Linked DNA regions of Macaca fascicularis. The protein of the gene in region 1 interacts with the protein of each later gene in a pairwise test. Links are inferred from orthologs where the notes say so. Each region holds a gene or a part of one and is shown in the gene's direction. Other genes may lie near its edges.

Evidence for each region.
Region 2: the proteins of MAPK1IP1L (region 1) and SS18L1 interact in binary tests that used the Homo sapiens proteins (3 or more experiments, as listed by UniProt). The two-hybrid records come from large-scale screens. The link is inferred for Macaca fascicularis from reciprocal best matches to the Homo sapiens genes MAPK1IP1L and SS18L1.
Region 3: the proteins of MAPK1IP1L (region 1) and TFG interact in binary tests that used the Homo sapiens proteins (3 or more experiments, as listed by UniProt). The two-hybrid records come from large-scale screens. The link is inferred for Macaca fascicularis from reciprocal best matches to the Homo sapiens genes MAPK1IP1L and TFG.

What each region holds. Positions count from the first base shown.
Region 1 is NC_088381.1:122,906,135-122,912,043, forward strand, and holds the start of MAPK1IP1L (MAPK-interacting and spindle-stabilizing protein-like), read left to right. Parts: upstream 1-2,009; 5' UTR 2,010-2,166; intron 2,167-5,909.
Region 2 is NC_088384.1:118,187,691-118,193,814, forward strand, and holds the start of SS18L1 (calcium-responsive transactivator), read left to right. Parts: upstream 1-2,765; 5' UTR 2,766-3,085; coding exon 3,086-3,154; intron 3,155-6,124. Other genes in the region: PSMA7 (proteasome subunit alpha type-7), read right to left, coding at 78-204, 2,471-2,566. UniProt on the Homo sapiens protein: Transcriptional activator which is required for calcium-dependent dendritic growth and branching in cortical neurons. Recruits CREB-binding protein (CREBBP) to nuclear bodies.
Region 3 is NC_088376.1:182,334,016-182,340,016, reverse strand, and holds the start of TFG (protein TFG), read left to right. Parts: upstream 1-1,878; 5' UTR 1,879-2,021; intron 2,022-2,139; exon of another isoform or gene 2,140-2,297; intron 2,298-2,630; exon of another isoform or gene 2,631-2,848; intron 2,849-6,001. UniProt on the Homo sapiens protein: Plays a role in the normal dynamic function of the endoplasmic reticulum (ER) and its associated microtubules. Required for secretory cargo traffic from the endoplasmic reticulum to the Golgi apparatus.

The sequences.
Region 1 (5,909 bases):
ATCTTCCAGAAGCAGGTGCCAAGAGGTGCAAGAGATTTATTTGGAGTGAAATACCTAGAAAGATAAAGAAGGGAGCAGAAGGTGGGGAATTCTTCATACCACTCTGAAAGTCTGACACCTGGAAGGAAGGATTGGGTAGGGGAGCTTTGGACTTCAGTGCACCTTCAAACTGCTAGATGAGGACTTAGTTCCCAAGCAAAGGTTCCCTGTAGACAAGTCCACAGGGACAGGAATGGCCTAGATCTAGACCCCTCCAATGTGCTCAGCTACTGGCTGATTGCAGGCAAGGAAAAGTTGGAGGCTATCCATTACTGGTACAGTGCCAGGACTAGGGTATGGTGAGGCACTTGGGCACAAATATTTGACTAATAGACTAAGGAAGACAATGTTTTGGTGCAATATTGTAAAATCAGAATTGATGCCAAAAAAAGCCTATGATGAGCAAGATACCAAATTTCAAATCAAACATGACTGGATTGCTGATTTCTTGTTGCTTCAGGCTTCACCATGGCTCCACAAAGCACTGCTTATTCACTGTCTCCAGTGAGGACAGGCTAGGTCCACACTAGTCGTGTAATTTTCCATAGGCCTGTGTGCCCTTATCCAAAAATAAGACTCTGGGCTTAGATATTTTAAGTTCCTCTGTTGCCCCTTTTTCAGTGTGAGAATTGTGTTTGCTGTGGAATACATCCAGGGATGTCTTCCTTTAAATAAGTTCACAGTTTTAAATGGCCACCCCCTGACTCACTAATGCCTTACACAAAGCAAGATGCAAGTGCACCACATGCTTTTAGGATATTTTTATATGTTAAAAAAATGTATATTGGCCGGGCGCAGTGGCTCACGTCTGTAATCCCAGCACTTTGGGAGGCCGAGGCAGGCGGATCACAAGGTCAAGAGATCGAGACCATCCTGGCCAACATGGTGAAACCTCGTCTCTAAATTAGCTGGGCAACGTAGAGCGCGCCTGTAGTCCCAGCTACTTGGGAGGCTGAGGCAGGAGAATCGTTTGAACCCGGGAAGCGGAGGTTGCAGTGAGCTGAGATAGCGCCGCGCCACTGCACTCCAGCCTGGCAACAGAGCGAGACTCCGTCTAAAAAAATACATATATTGCATATATGTGTCTATTTTGCACACCATATAATTGTCACGACATCTTTATTGCTAGTTAGTAGGTTCCTTGACTGGGGTCATGTCATCTGTGCCTGACACAGGAGGTAATGTTTATTCAGAAATGAAGATCGCGGCTGGGCGCGGTGGCTCACGCCTGTAATACCAGCACTTTGGGAGGCCGAAGAGGGCGGATCGCTTGAGACTAGCAAGGTGAGACCCCATCTCTACTAAAAACACAAAAATCAGCGGGTGTGGTGACACACGCCTGTAGTCCCAGCTACTAGGAGGCTAAGATGGGAGGATAGCTTGAGACCACCAGGCAGAGGTTGCAGTGAGCCGAGATCGCGCCACTGCATTCCAGTCTGGGTGACAGATGCCTCGTCTCAAAAACCACAAAAAAGAACATAGGAGAAGAGGCATTGATGAGGAAAACTCAGCAAAGACAGCAAATATCAATTTGTTAAGCTATTTGCAAAGGTTTTCTCTTTCCTGTATTAATCTTTTCCCTCTCCCCACTTTTGGCCCGAGGATCTGAATCGTTCGGTCAGGCAGAAATCAGACCGCGTCCATACCCAGCCTCCTTCGAGGCCTAGCTGTAAAAACCGCTGAGCAAAGGGAATCCAGAATCAGCCCTCAAGCAACTCAAGACAAGTTAGCAATTTCCGCCGGTATGCCGTGAACACCGGCGACCACTGGCGTTTCCTCTGAGTCCTCGGAACTCCGGAAACTCTGGGAGCTTTCAGCCCGCCCATCAGGGGAAAGCGGCCCGGGGCCGGCGCCAGGTGGAGCCCATCCCCCTGCGTCTGGCGGGCCGCAGTACCGCCAGGGGCCTGCGGGAGGCGCACGCGGCGCGGCCTGAGGGGAGGGGGAGAGCGGGCGGAGGCGGTGCGCTCGGCGCTTCCTGTTCCGGCGCCAGGAGGAGCCGCGCGCTGCTGGTGCTGTTGCCGCCGCTGCTTTCCCTGCCGTCAGTCAGGCTGCGCCCGCTTCTTCAGGGCCCAGTCCCTCGGACCCATCGCCGCTTCTAGACCCTACTGCGGTCTCGGATATTGCCGGGTGAGGCTGCTTCGGTACTAGTGGGAGTCGTGAAGGGGAATCGGGGGGCTGGGGTTGCGGAGCCCGCGGGCGCGGCCAAGCGGGAAGCGGGCGCGGTAACTGAGGTGCATCGAGTCACGTCCAGTGCTCGGGCCGTGGTCGCCTGCCTGGGACCGGGGCTAAGCGTTTCTCTCGGTCGCCTTCCTCCACGCTGCGGGCTGCCTGGGGATCGCCCCCCAGGGAGAAGGTGTAGGAGGCCGCTGACGTCGCGCCCGACGGGTTTCTGGGCGCCTGACGTCAGGCCTGGCTGCGGGGCGGGGCGGGCGCGGGCCGGCCCCTCCCCCACCCTTTCCCGGCGGGCGCGACCCGCTCGGAGGCCGGTTCGCTCCGGTTGATCCCGGACTCCCTTTGTTCGTGCGTCCCTAAAAGGCTGCCGGCCTCGCGCCTTTTGGCCCCGATTTCCCCTCTACCCCCACCCCATTGCACCCATTCATTAATTTCTAATAAAAAGGGAAAAGCCTGAAAAGATTATTACAGGAATCTCGGGCGCTTGTTAATCCGCAGTGTGACAACGCTCTGGTTATGACTCACTAGAGGAATTGCCCACGGATACGTTAGATGAATACCCAGGGCAAACCACGAGAAGGGCAGAATTTAGGGATCTCCTTTTTAGGACTGAAGAGCGCATACCTACGATAGCTTATATATAGGGGGACCGTTTTCCTCTTTACCTTGAAAAGCAAGAGTACAGCTTTTAATAGGTAAAGATTGCAGTGTTAAAGCATGAAGCCGGACTCGCTCGACCGAAAAATTTTTTTTTAGTTTTACTGCTAGAGAAATACACACCTGGGGGTTGTAAAGGTCTGTTTTGAAAAGGAACCCTCATTACAGGCAAAGGTAGCCTTCAGAAACATTTTGTAAGTTCTTTGTTCACTGGTGTTCTTTGAGGGAAGAATAGAAATTTTTCATGCTGGCATCTCTGAGCCCACAATGCAAAGCGAGTTTGCTTCAGAAACTTGGAGTGAATTGCAAATATTGGAATGTTCTTTTCCTCTCTCCAGGAGGAATGGGTAATATCCATCCCCAGTCTCTTAGCTGAAACTTTTGAAGCTAGTGTGTTTTGAATTCAAAAATACTTGGATTTTATCTTCATCTTTTTAGAAAGACGACATGTTAGACGAGAGATAACACCCCCAGCAGAATGGGGCACCGCATCATCCAACATTAATATTTGCAGCAATAGATGTGAGCATTCATTCTAAGTGGGGGCGAATAGAAACTATAAATAGCTTCAGGTCACATTTTGCCACCATGTAAGATTTGTGCCAAACTTGGGAAAGTTTATTTTTTCGGAAGTCTCTGGATTGAGAAGGGCAGATAAAGATTTATGGACCTAAAAGTAGGCATCGTAAAAGCTAATATTTGTTGAGGTTTTGCTATATTCCAGGCAGTGACTAAGAGATTTGTTTATTATATAAGTCTTAGAGCAAATCTATGATGTGCATACGATTCTGATCTCCCTTTGCCTCGAGTTTGGAGAATTGGACTTGTCAACTCTGGCCAGTCCAACCAGTGAAGAGCTGCAGTTGTAGCTGGATGGTCATACTTTAGCGTTTACTCTTTTACCTATAAGCTAGATGTCCACATACAAGGGAAAGAGAATTTGGTACCTGTTTTCCACCCAAGCACTATTTTAGGCACTTGATTGGACAGAGTCCAATTTAGTTCATCGCAGCATTACTGGTCTGGTTGTTTTTTGTTTTTTGTTTTTAACTGCGTGCTTTTTACAAACAGTATGGCCTGTTCTTTATAGTTCAGGTTCATTCAGATGAGCCGACTCTTACTGAAATAATTCAAACCCTCGTCTAAGGTCTCTCTGCTAAGACTTTCCCCTTCCCTTGCTATATTCTAACCCATCTGAACTGCTTATACCTCCTCACAGATTCTCCCAATTTTTACACCAACTGCTCTTCTTTCCCTAGGACCCATGTCACCGCCCTCTACTCCCAGCTCTTTCTTTATGGTCCTTATGGACTGCAAAAGACAGCACATCTCAGGAATCTCCATGTAATACTAAAATTTCTCTAAAGCCCAACACATTGTTTGGCACATATGTTCCAATAAATATATAACTAAATGCCAAGAAATATTGCAGGTTGCATATCCCTTATCCCAAATGCTTGGAACCAGAAGTGTTTCAGATTTTGGATTTTTTTTTTTATATTACACCAGTTGAGCATCCGAAATCCAGAATGCTCTAATGAGCATTTTCTTTGAGCGGCATGTTGGCACTCAAAAAGTTTCAGATTTTTGAGCATTTCAAAACCCCCGTTTTTGAGTTGCCCAAATGTAAAAAATGGAACATAATCAGATAAATGAGCCAATGCTGAAAACTAGCATGTATTCTAATTTATAACTTTTTATTTTTGGAGACAGTCACTCACTGCAAGTTCCGCCTCCTGGGTTCAAGCGATTCTCCTGCCTCAGCCTACCGAAGTAGCTGGGATTACAGGTGTCTGCCACCGTGCCCAGCTAATTTTTTGTATTTTTGGTTGAGATGGGGTTTCACCATGTTGGCAAGGCTGGTCTTGAACTCCTGATCTCACGTGATCCACCCCCCTGGGCCTCCCAAAGTGCCGGGATTACAGGCTTGAGACACTGTGCCCAGCCATTAATTTATATTTTCAGTATGATACATATCATCCCCTGCATACTAAACAAATCAACCCCAAAATTTTGATTTTATTTAATTTTGCCTAATAAATATCTAACATGTATATAGCACTTTATAGATTAAGTGTGTTACTATTTTCTGTGCAGTGGGTAGGAGCTATAACTTCTACAGATGGAAAATGGTCTCATTGAGAAGTTTATTTTTGTCAAAAGATACCGTCAAAAAGGATTGATGTCTGGGTTTCATCACTGTGTAGTCCCATACTGTTTATTACTCCGTCACAATTTGAAGGCTCTGTGAAATATCCATGAACTCCACTAGTAATTCATGGAGTTCAACTCTCTTAACCACCCTCCTCCCTGACCCATGATTGAATTGTCATTTTTACCCTAACAGCCATGAGAGTTTCCAAAATGTTATGTTTTACTTTTCTAGTGTATGTCAAAAGAAATTTTGTACTGTTTTAAAATTACTATTCTTGCTGCTCAGAGAATAAAAATTATTATTTTTCAGACGATGGGTGGATCGGACGATGCTATAAAATGGTAACAAAGTTTTGGAAATAATCGCTTTAGATTATTCCAAAAAGGAAAAAAAAATGAAAGCCTTTCTTAAGTATACATTTTTTTTATGAGTTCAAGGTTACATTGGCCTCATCTTAATAATCAGCAGTGAATCAGATATTTTGGAATAGCTTTATATTTTTATTTATTTTTCTTTTTGAGACAGAGTCTCACTATATTGCCCAGGCTGGTCTTTAACTACTGGCCTCAAGCGGTCTTCCCACCTCAGCCTCCTGAGAAGCTGGGATTACAGGTGCACACGACTAAGCGCGGCTTAGAATAGCTTTTTAGAAAACCTAAACTTTTTACGTTCTGCAACTTTCCTCATACTGAAACGTTCATGTCCAACTCTGTTTTTCACCTTTTCTAATGAAAGTATTCTCCAAAGAGCAAATTGGAATGCTTCCAATTACAGTTGTTCCCCCTTATCCTAGGGGGACACATTGCAAGACTCCCCAATGAATCCCTGAAACTGAAGTCTATACACTGCGGAAGCCTAAGTGTACCATGTTTTTTATATCTAATAA
Region 2 (6,124 bases), on another chromosome or scaffold:
ACACCGAGTTAATCTCTAAAGCTCTATTCTTCGCTGAGACTCTGGAGAGTAAGACAGCGCTCCCCACCGACGCGTACCTGCAAAGGCCATGCAGACATTGTCATCCAAAGCACAGATCTTCCGCACTGTTCTTTCATCCTGCAGTTTGGCCACTGACTTCTTCTCCACACCAAGAACAACAATGTCTCTTCCTCGAACACCAACCTTTAATTAAGATCCACAAACCACATAAGAAAGTGACATGAGTGCTGGGTGCAGTGGCTCATGCCTGTAATTCCAGCACTTTTGGAGGCTGAGGTGGGTGGATGACTTGAGTTCAAGAGTTCGAGACCAGCATGGACAGCATGGCAAAACCCTGTCTCTAAAAAAAGTACAAAAATTAGCCAGGCGTGGTGGCTCAAGCCTGCAGTCCCAGCTACTCTGGGGGCTGGTGGGAGGATCGCTAGAGCCTGGTAGGTGGAGGCTGCAGTGAGCCATGATGGCTGGGAGACAGAGACAGCAAGACCCTGTCCCCTCACCCCACCCCACCCTCTGAAAAAAAGTGACACATGGTTCTACTGCCAGGCAGCAAGCACTAGGAGCAGATTTGAACCTCGGTCCTGGGGGATACGTACTCTGGGTAGCAGCTCCCACTGGAAGGTGTGTGCACCCACACCCCTTCCTCCTCCACTTGTCTGTCACTGTGGTTGGCACCACATCCTGCAAACCCAGGGGCATTCATCTACTGCTGGTAGAGCTAGCCCAGGCGTGCTCACCTAGGTGCCCAACCTGCGCCTTTCAAATGCTGAGATGTAGTTTTAGTTACAGCATAGCTAGTAAGTAACCATTATATAATCGGCATGTGTTTCCTTTCAACCCAATGAATCAAACAGTCCCATGCAAAGCCTGGAAGCCTCAGACTTTCACACTCGAGTCTGGTGTTCTGAAGGCAGTGTTTCTGTAGTTGTGAAATTGTATTGAGCCACAATGCACTGTTTCCTGCACTGTGACATACTCATGTGACAGCCGTGGGAAGGGGCCTGATTTGCCACCAGTGGACAAGGTGTCAACTGTTATCCCAAATTGTTTATGGCTGATACTAGAGAAGGATGTAGCTGTTACTAAAAGCACCGACAATCACTGACAGTCAACCCCGAGTCAAGCCAGAAACAAAGGGAACCATCATTGGGATAAACAGCGGCTCCTGGTTTAGAGCAGGGGCTTCTCCCGCTTAGCACTGTGAGCACCTGGGCAGGCTGATCTCACTGTTCCTGCCGCCCTAAGCACGGGTGGGATATTGAGCAGCGTCCCTGGCCTCTACCCTCTAAATGCCAGGAGCACCTCTGCAAGGTCTTAGACCACTAGAAAAGTCGCCACACACTGCCAGTGGCCCCTGTGGGCACAAAACCATCCCTGGCTGAGAAGTTCTGGTCTCAAGTGTTCGGGTTTTCCGGGAGCTTTCTCAGGTACTGACTCACTTGACCTTCAACTGACTCGAGGCCCAGAGAAGCTACATGGATTTGTTAAAGCCAGGTGCAGCCAACTGGCGGAGGTGGGAGTATTGGGGTCGAAGGCAGGGGTCAGCCGACTCCTAGTGCTCTTTAAGCTGACTTAGATCACCTGATGAATAACTGGGCCTTCATTTCAAAACAAAGATTCAGAAAATGAAAACAATTCAAAATTTAGAGAACCGTGTGTGCTTTCTTTGCCTGCTCAAACCTCTGAATACCAGGTGATAAAAGAATAACGATCTCACAGGCTGACCAACAAAACTGACACGTCTTGATGCTACGAATTTAAGTTTCAAACAATGTCACTAAGGTCAATGTACACGAGCCCTCGTCAAAATTGAAACGGCCGTGTTCAGACCAGTCCTGACCCGGGCGGCTGCAGCCCGGCCCCGGGAAGGCTCCTTCCGGCAGAGTGCAGGGACCCGGGAAGCGCCCGCCACCGGCCAGACCAGCGAGCTGCTTTGTTCCCGAAGCCCACCTGGGCCTAGAGAACAAGTGTTGCCCTGGGGCGGGTGGGGGTCCCCGTAACGGGGGACTGAGCAGTTCGCTACCCAGCCACCCGGCTGCGTGAACAGCCCCCAGCGAGCGCACAGTCGATCCCCCGCGGCCTGCAGCGGCCCTCGCCCGGCCTCTGCAAACCGGGTCGGCGATGCGACCCACGCGCCCGGCCGGGGCCAGGGGTGCCCAAGATGGCGTCGCCACGGTCCCGCGTGCCCGGTGCCCCACGCGAGGCCGGGCCCCAAGCGAGGCGCTGGGTGGGGAGAACGGGCCATCGCGGCTCACGCCAAACGCCGCCTCTGCAGGCACTCGTGGAGACCGGCAGCGGGGCCCGCGCTCAGCTACAGCCCCGACTGCCCACGCCGCTGCCCCGCGCACGCCCGCGTGCGCCCACAGCTCCGCGCCCGACCCCGACCCTCTCTCGGCTCCCCAGCCCCACTTCCGCCCGCGTCCCCGGCCCCGCGCAGGCCCCGGCGGCTCACCGCGGTCGAGCCCTTCTTGACGGCCTCCTGCGCGTACTCCACTTGGAAGAGATGGCCGTCGGGCGAAAAGACGGTGATGGCGCGGTCGTAGCTCATGCCGGCGGGGCGGCGGCCGAGTTCCTTCCGCCGCGACTCTCAAAAGCGCACACTCACGGCCCGCGCGCACCCGCGACTCCCGGCGCCACTGCGCCCGCGCCCCGCCCTCGGCGCCGTGACCTGCGCTGCCGGCGACGGGCGGCGTCAGGCGGCGTCGGGCGGCGTCAGGCGGCGTCGGGCGGACGTGCGGGCGGGCGCCGGGGCGGGGCCAGGCCGAACCACCGGTGGCCGGGGGTGGGAGGCGGTGCTCCGGCGGAGGGCCGGGCGCTGGGTGCGAGGGGGCCGCCGGGGGCCACCGTTCGGCACTGGGCCGCAGACCCTTCTGCAGGGCGGAGCGGCGGCGCCGCGGGCCCGGAGGCTCGGCGACGGCGACGAGGCGGACGAGCCCATGACGCGGCGCCCCCCGCGCCCCCGCCCCCTGCCCCCCCGCCGCTACTGCGGATAATGAGCGCCTCGGGCCGCCGAGCGCAGCCGGAGTATCCACCCCGATGACCACGGGCTGAGTCCCGCGCAGCCACCATGTCCGTGGCCTTCGCGTCCGCCCGGCCAAGAGGCAAAGGGGAGGTCACGCAGCAAACCATCCAGAAGGTGGGCCGGGCCGGGGCGGCGGCGCCGGGCGGCGGGGCTGAGGGCGGGCGCTCGCGGGGCCGGGGCGCGGGCAGCTGGCGGGCGCAGGGCGCGAACAAAGCCGGGGCGCAGCCGGGCGGCCGCGAACCCGGACGGCGGCCCGGTGCCCGTCCCCGCGTTCCACGCCTGCGCGCCAGCGGGCACCGGGCCGTGTGGGGGGCGCTCCCCGGAGAGCCTGCGCCAACTTTGTTGGGGCGGCGGGTCCCTCGGGCCGGGGCACGGGGCGCTGGGGGCCGGGCGGACGCTGGAGGGTGCCGGCCCCCGAGCGCGCTGTCCTCCGAGTCCGCGGCGCGCGCTGGGAACAGTCCTGGGCCGTGCCGGGCGCACGGGGACCCCTCGGGGCCGGGGCGAGGGCTCGTCGCGCTCCGCAGCCAGTCTCGGTGGCGAAGGCGGGCGGCGGGCGACACTCGCTCTCTGCGCTCAGCTTGGCGAGTGGAGAAGGGCGCGGGCCGGCCTCCGGGCGCACGGAGATGGCGGGGCCCGCGGCCAGGGCTGCCCCTTCTGCCGCTGGAGCGAGGCGCGGACGATGGAGGCACAGAGGGACGCCTCCCAATGCCCATTTGGAGGGCATCGTTAGGCAGCTCGGCCCCGTAAGAAGCGCACCGCCCACCCGTATCCTCGCGGCCACGCCGCATTTCAGCGTGACACCCTCCCCCGCCGCCTCGCCTAACAAACTTGGTGGATTTGCTCCACAACCTTTCCTCTAGCTCCGTAAGTTCGGCCTTGTGGATTTCAAGAGACAGCGTTTACAGGGGTTTGGGATACCGTTATCCAAAGCCCTAAGTTTTGAAATTGAGACTTTGCATTTTCTGCTGTTTTTCGGTAGAAGACAAATTCGGAAGAAAATCAGCATTAGCCATTCCCGTTTCAGTTGTCGCAACATCTTTTGGAGTGACATTCGTTTTTTCCTCAACTCCGACTCCGTCTTCACCCTGGTGGGATTGCAGGGATAAACAGTGGTATTCCTAGGTTCCCAGGAGCGGCGTGTCTCCCTAAGGGGGTTCACCTTGACCTTGATTGTGGCTCTTATTCCTTGATGACATGCCAGTCTCCTGTGGAAGTTGTCCTAAATCTATCGCCTATTTTGAGACTATCCTTGCTGTTGCTAGTTTTAGAAATTTGATGGTCTTAACAAATGAGAACCTTGGCCAACTCTGAACAGGAGAGATTGAGAATAGCAGAAACACAGATTTACAAGTGTGGCATTTTAATTTACGTAGTAAACACTTATGTGTGCCTACTGTATCCCAGACACTTCTAAGGGTTTTATAAATTTTAATTCATCCAATTCTTCATAGAAGCTACTGGCATCCCGTTTAACAGTTAAGGACGCTGAGGTCTAGGGAGGCTGTGCCTTGCTGGTAAGTGGACGCTGAAGCCTGGGGTGCTGAGTGCCTTGCTGCTAAGTGGCACAGCCAGGTGTTGAACCCAGACTGTGACTCCAGGGTCTGCTCTGTTGGTACCCCTTGATCTGGGAACATTTGGCCAGGCGGAGGTCAAGCTCTAGGCTCAGAGGCAAATGTTGGAACCCGGAGCATCTCCTGGCACTCTGGTTTTTTGGACCTTAGCAGTCATTGTTCCTGAAGCTACTTTTGTCTTCAACGTTCGTCCTGTTATTTGCACTGCGCACACACTTCCATTGAAGCTCCCCAAATTCTCCAGGTAAAAGTGTGTATTGAGGTGCTGCCCCAAACATCAGATTAGAAAGGAAGAAATGCACCTGTGGACTGTGTGTCCCAGGGCAGAAACTCAGCCTGCTGACCATTGGAAATGGATCTTTAGTTTAGGCTGCTGACTTGGCCTGGTAGGGCCAGCAGGCTGCATATTGGGCTTGGTGTTTTGACAGTGAATGTATTTACCCAGGGATCTTTTACTGGGAGGTGTGAGAAGGCTGAGAAGGGTGTGAGAGGTGCGTGTTCTATGCCTAAAACGTGTGCTGTGTCCACAGTGTGTGCTAGTAGTCTCATGCCGAGAGCATTAAGAGAAGCCAGGGACCCCTCTGAAACCCGCTTGGTAGTGAAGGGGAAGGAAGAATACAACTTGTCCTTAACAACATAGTGTGTGGGTGGGGATCTTCCAAGCCAACTTCTACTCAACCTTCAAAGCCTCACTCAAATGTTCCCTGTCTCATGCTCCCTCAGCCGTCATGTGGCCCAGGAAGCACTTGCTTGGGCTCCTGAGTTCAGCATGTGACTGATGAATTCTTTGCTGATCCCCAGCCTCTCGTCGTGTCTGAGCACAGTTAGTGCTGAGCACGTGCCGGTGCATCTGTGACTCTGGTTCCATCAGTGGAAGTGTTTTGAAATAAGCAGATGCGTCAGTGTCCTGTGACTTCCTTGACACATTACCACAACCCAGGTGGCTTCAAACGACAGAAATCTATTCCCTTACAGTTTTGGAGGCCAGAAGTCCCAAGTCCAGGGGTCAGTTCCCTGCTCTTCTCTTGGCTTCTGATGGCTGTGGGCAGCCCTTGGTGTTCTCTAGCTTGTAGGTGTATCCAGCCAGTCTCTGATTTCATCATCATCTTTTTTTTTTTTTTTTTTTTTTGAAATGGAGTTTCGCTCTTGTTGCCCAGGCTAGAGTGCAATGGCACCATCTTGGGCTCACAGCCTCCGCCCCCCCACCCGCCCACGTTCAAACAGTTCTCCTGCCTCAGCCTCCTGAGTAGCTGGAATTACAGGCACGTGCCACCATATCCAGCTAATTTTGTGTTTTTAGTACAGACGGCGTTTCTCCATGTTGGCCAGGCTGGTCTTGAACTCCCGACCTCAGGTGATCCGCCCCCCCCCACCCCCCTTGGCCTCCCAAAGTGCTGTGATTACAGGCATGAGCCATCATGCCTGGCCTCAATTTCCCAGTTTTTATAAGGACTCTAGTCATTGGTTTTAGGGCCTGCGTTAATCCAGCAAGACCCCATCTTTGTTTCATTTT
Region 3 (6,001 bases), on another chromosome or scaffold:
GGTGCCTCTCTTCCTAGCATACGGATGACCACAGTGTAACAGGCACCAGTTTATTTCTCCTCAGTAGCAGGACTCTTGAGTGCCCCCTCACTGGGGATCCTCAGCAGATATTCTTTTCACCTTATAATAGGCCAAGGTTCATCTCCTTATCTCCTGCCTCAGGATCTGACCTCTTTTTAGTTTAAATATACTACTATAACAGTAGTATAATTTACTTCCTTCAGGGAATATTTTACCTTTGCCACATGGTTGTGGTTTTACCCCATCCCAAACCATTTTAATGACATCATAATACTATTATCTGACAGCAGTGCATCTCCTTAAATCTGTATTATTCCATTTTAAAAAATAAGCAATGAATAACTTCTTTGGAGAGCAATCAGGAACTGTTTTTCATTTCTTCTGCAGTACTCCACAACCTTATCCCTGCAAACAATTGTTCAAAGGGCAATACAACTGTTGGCAAATACAAATCAGAAGTGAACAGTCTAAACTTACATTATTTCACTCTCAAACAGAAGTTTCAGAGACTTATAACTGAAAAATATCACACTACTCATAGTAGTAAAAGAACATAGCTTCTCACCCTGAAACACTTGAATTTACCCCAGGTCCTTTACGAGTATCGGGTGTTAAAGCAAACTAAGTATGGCCTGAGAAGGACTCCATACTTTTATATTTGAATCCTTGTGGATGAACTGTAACCTAGCTTAATAGACAAGAATGAAAACCTAACTTAGGAGTATGCATCTGTAACAATAACCTAGTCTTGGCCAATTCCAGCCACCACCCTCAACCACTCATAGACTGCTAAGTGTTCAAATAAGGCAAACGCCAACCTGTAACCAATCCAGCTGTTTCTGTACTTGACTCCCGATTTCTGTACCTCATTTCCCTTTTTCTGTCTAAAATCTTCCACCACATGGCTGTGCTGGAGTCTCTGAATCTGCTGTGATTCTGGGGGCTGCCCAGTTTGTGAAATCATTCGTTGCTCAATTAAACTCCTTTAAATTTAATTCAGCTTAAGTTTTTCTCTTATAACTGGTAAACAACTGGAGACCAGGTAGGGTATAAATGCTTTATTTATCGGCTTAGTCTCCACCTTCGAAGTGACAAAGATTCTCTGCTTGGCCAAACTTCAGGCTCCTGAGCCTTCTCCTAGGCCCATCTGTGCATCTTCTTGTAAAACTCAGTTTCAGCAAAGAACCTTGTTAAGTCAGTATAGTAAGAATCCCTCACCCTTGATCAGGTTCCTCATCCTCCACCACCCCCAGGTGATGTCTGTTATCCTGGCCTGTCTTCATCTAGAATCCTGTTGTGTTGGTTTAGCCAGAATCTCCCTTGTCCCTGACATTTCCTCTTAGTAATTTTCCATCCACTGACCGACTCCCACCCCTTGGCTATAAATTCCCACTTATACTGTATTTCTATTTGAACAGGTAAAGGAGAAGGGAAGAGTACGTAGTGCACACTCAAATGCCTTATCCTCCAAAAATCACTCAGGAATCATTAGCCTTAATTTCCCAGCTTTTGTCCTTTACACAGTCACATATTTGTCTTGGCTTATAAACGCTGTCGGTCTTCCCTGCTGAATTGGAAACTCCTTGCTCACAAAATGATTCACCCCCATTCCTAGAACGGGGCTTGGCAAAGCGTAGGCTCCCAGTAATGAATGAATGGATTTGTGGAAGAAAAGGTTTTTATTTCATCTGTTACTACAATGGTCAACAACAACGACAAAAACCACTTAAAGTTGGACAGACCTGCAACCGGCTCTCAAAAAGTCTAGAACAGCGCACTACGCCCCGCCCATTGGCGAGAAACGGAAATACATGCTTTCCAGAAAACCGGAAGTGCCTGGTCACGCCCCGCGCATGCGTGAATCGGCGCAGCTCACGCTTCCTACAGCCCATCATCCAGCGAGAAAGCAGGGAGTCTTCGGTAGAGGCAGCCGGGACCGAGGCAGCCGGGACCCAGCCAGCCCTGAGCCTGGCGCATGCGTCCTGGTGTGTCCACGCGCAGTAAGGAGGGGCGAAAGGGCTTTTTTTTTTTTTTCTTGCTCCCGCCTCTCTTCTTCCCCCACCTGCCACGTACAGAGCCCGAGTTCTCGCTAGGCTTGTTGGGTCAACGCGATTGGCCGAGGCCCGCGCGAGCCTGCGAGCGAGGTGCGGCGGTCGCGGAGGGCAACGGAGCGGGCAGTGACCACCGCCTCCCCGCGACGCCCCAGTCCAGTGGCCTCGCGTCGGCCCATTCAGCTGAGACCTGCGGCGAGGCGGCGGCGCGGCCTCCGCAAGCCGGTATGGCCACTGGAGACGGGGGTTGCGGCCGCTCTCTCCGAGGAGGCCGGGAGACGAGGAGGCGCTGTGAAGGCCTCGCTCGAACCGCCCGGCGACTGGGGTCGGAGGCGCTGGGGAAGGGGCTGGAGGGAGGAGGGGGCGGGGGGAGGACGGAGCCGGAGGCAGGAAGGGCGGGGCTTTGCATAGGGGGAAGGGAAAGGAGGTCGCGGAGGGGGAGGGCAGAGAGGCAACCCCTGGCCGCGCTGGCCAGGAGGCGCGCCTCGGGGGCTCCGGGAGGCGAGTGGGCCAGTTAATTCCTTGGTGCAGCCTGCCTCAAAGGTTTTGGATTGAGAGGAGAGGGCCTTTGGGAGGTCTGGGTTGGCCGGCGCCCAGCACCCGAAGGCGCTCGGAAGGGTGCGGAGTGGCGCCTACGGGAATAAGTTGATTGGGGTCACTGAATTGGAGCCTGGTTCCTTGGCTAAGTCAACGCTTAAGCGCCAGCTGGAGGCCCAACCTGGTTTTATAGTGATGATTCTAGCTAATTTTAAGAGTTTGCTTTGCTGGACACTAAAGTAAGTATTTGAGATGCAGTGTCTCATTTAATCATCACAAGGATGCCTCCAAATTCAGATATTGTTATTTTCATTTGGAATATGTTGAAAGTGAGCCTTCGAGGACTTAAGATCACATCGCTGGTAGTGGGAATCTTGACCGTCTTGCTACACTGCCTCTGAGGCAGGGTTTGAGGCCTGTTGCCTTGTTTAGAATAATTACAGGTTGACTTGACTTAGTATTTCTTGAAGGAAACTGCTCCCCTCAGGAGGTGCCTAAGCCACAGCCTCTGAAATTGAGCAGGGTCTTACCCTTACAGATAGCAGAACCAGAAGTATGGCCACTGAACCTAGGTCCTGGTTCAGGAGGAAGGCTTTTTATATGACCTTGAGCATGTCAGATTATTCCCAGTGCTGAGAAAAGCGTTCCTGTTGGAGGGTTATATTATACAAGTTAGAGGCCGAGACATTTCTGGACTTCAGAGGGGCCGGGGCAGGGACAAGATGGGAGAAGAGCTTGTTGTAGGGCTCCTACTGGCAGTTCTAGGAGCTAGTTGTTAATACCAGTCTCTACTTTGGAAGAGAAAACGAGTACCAGAATTCTGTATATGAAGTAATGTTGGGATGGGATTTCCCCTTGAGAGGAAACTTTTGTTGCACACTTACTTTTGAGATACTTTTGTGTTTACTCTGGGGAGATGACTGCACGAGCTAACAACAGCTTTAGGAAAGAAGCACTGGTTCCTGGCCACAAGATATTTACAGTCAGTGGGAAACACAAAAAGTGAATTTGCATGCAAACACATGGAAGATAGAAAGCATACCTGACTCAATTTTTTTTTTTTTTTGAGACGGAGTCTCAGGTTGGTGTGCAGTGGCGTGATTCCCCCGGCTCACTGCAACCTCCGCCTCCCGGTTTCGAGCGATTCTCCTTCCTCAGCCTCCTGAGTATCTGGAATTACAGGCGCACACCACCACGCCTGGCTAATTTTTGTCTTTTTAGTAGAGACGGAGTTTCACCATGTTGATCGTCTGGTCTTGAACTCCTGACCTTGTGATCCGCCCGCCTCGGCCTCCCAAAGTGCTGGGATTACAGGTGTGAGCCACCGCGCCCGGCCTTCAAACTTTAAATCCATTGAAATTGGGCAACAAACCCGTACCCCAGTCAGAAGGACATACCATCAATTATATTCAAAGCTGGAATTTTTTCTTAATTAGGCATGTGTCTGACGGAAGTCACTTCTAGCTCCATAAAGAAGGTATAGTGTGAGGATCGGATGTAAAAACTGATCTGTATGACAGCTTTCTTCTCCCATACTTCAAAAAATTTAAAGTCTTTAAATACTATATGTCAGGCACTTTTCTAGGTGCTGCTGGGAATAGATAATACCAGCTTACTGAAGCTAAGCACTGGGTCCTTTTACATTATTCCTGGTTTACACTTCTTGTAGAAAGGAGAAGGTAACAAATACATTGATTTTTTGAAAGATCTTTATTACTCTTAGGCTGCAAAGCAAACAAGATGGAATATTTACCATCTTGGTGAAATAATTATACTTTAGAGCTTGGCACATAGTAGGTATTTAGAAGTAATTCCTGAATGCAGAAGGCATTGCAGAAGGCATTGCAGAAGGCGAAGAGTTGGTTGTATGGAGATTTCTGTTAATCACTGTCTTCATGAGAAGTCCATTGTAAGAACTGGCAGATAAAAAACTAACTGTATTCTTTCTTTGCGTTAAGATAAGCATGGCATCTCTAGAGTGGAATGCAGTTCACTCTATTCTGCATTGACCTTAAAGTGTTATATTTAGTTTTAATGACCCATTTCATTGAAGATTTATTAATAAAATATCTGTTCAGAGCATGGTGAGGGGTCTAGAGATACTAATTTAAGGACTAGTTAGGTGAAAGGACGAAGGGTATTTATATGAAGAATAGTAGAGCATTAATATATAATATTCATATAATAGGATTCATGGAAACTTTTTTCAAGTACTTGAAGGGTTGATATGCTGGGGGAGTAGGTGAGTGCTTTCACATACCCCGAAAGAATAAACAATAATTGCAGAGAAGTGTGGTGTTAATGAAATAACAGATTTAAGAAGAGGAAGCAGAAAGCTGCTAGTAGTAAGGCGGGAAGTTGAAACTAGAATGTGGCCAGTAGGAGTTTTTGGACACCTTTAAATGTCTCAGATCATTTTCTTGGGGCAGGAGGAGGAAGGAGTTGATGCTTAGGAAATGTTCAGCGTTTATAGATAACATTCAGGAACATCTTGGCCTTGAGAAGAAGAGATATTAACCCATTATTTGATAAGTAAATCCTCCCTTATTATCTAGCAACTATTTAACTTGCTAGAGACCTTCAACATTATTTTGAATTTAAAATTACACAGTCATGGCTGGACTTGGTGGCTAATGCCTGTAATCCCAGCACTTTGGGAGGCCAAGGTGTGTGGATCTCTTGAGGTCAAGAGTTCGAGAGCAGCCTGACCAACATGGTGCAACCCCATCTCTACTGAAAAAAACAAAAATTAGCTGGGCGTGGTGGCACATGCCTGTAGTCCCAGCCACTCAGGAGGCTGAGACACGAGAATCCCTTCAGCCCAGGAGGCGGAAGCTGCAGTGAGCTAATAGTGTGCCACTGCACTCCAATCTGGTGACAGAGTGAGACTCCATCTCAAAAAAAAGAAATAAATAAATAAAAATACAGTCATTACAGGATAGTCATACTGAATAAAATCAAAGATTAAAATAAAACCTAAGGGAAAATTCTGTAACGAATTAGTGTTTAGTGGCTAGTTGTTTGACACTGTCTTATTTAATAAAGTATACAGTCCATTCATACACACCCACCCAGGTGGGAGAGTTAGGGAGTATGCAGCACAGTAGTGGACAGTCTTTAAACAGTTCAGATGGGTGTTACTAATTTGTCCTTTCTCCTTCAGTTCCCCCACGTAGAGAGGAAATTAAAGACATACTCATGAGATCTTTCTTAGAAAAACTTGAGGCTCTATTTGAGTATTCACACATAACTCTGTCTTCAGAGTTAGCATTTACAGTTTATAGGATAATAGAGTTTTAAAGCCAGTAGTTATTTTTCCCTTTATTTAACAGCTATAGGATGACTATTGTCTGCCAGGCACTGTTGTAGGCTCTGGGAATACAGAAAACATA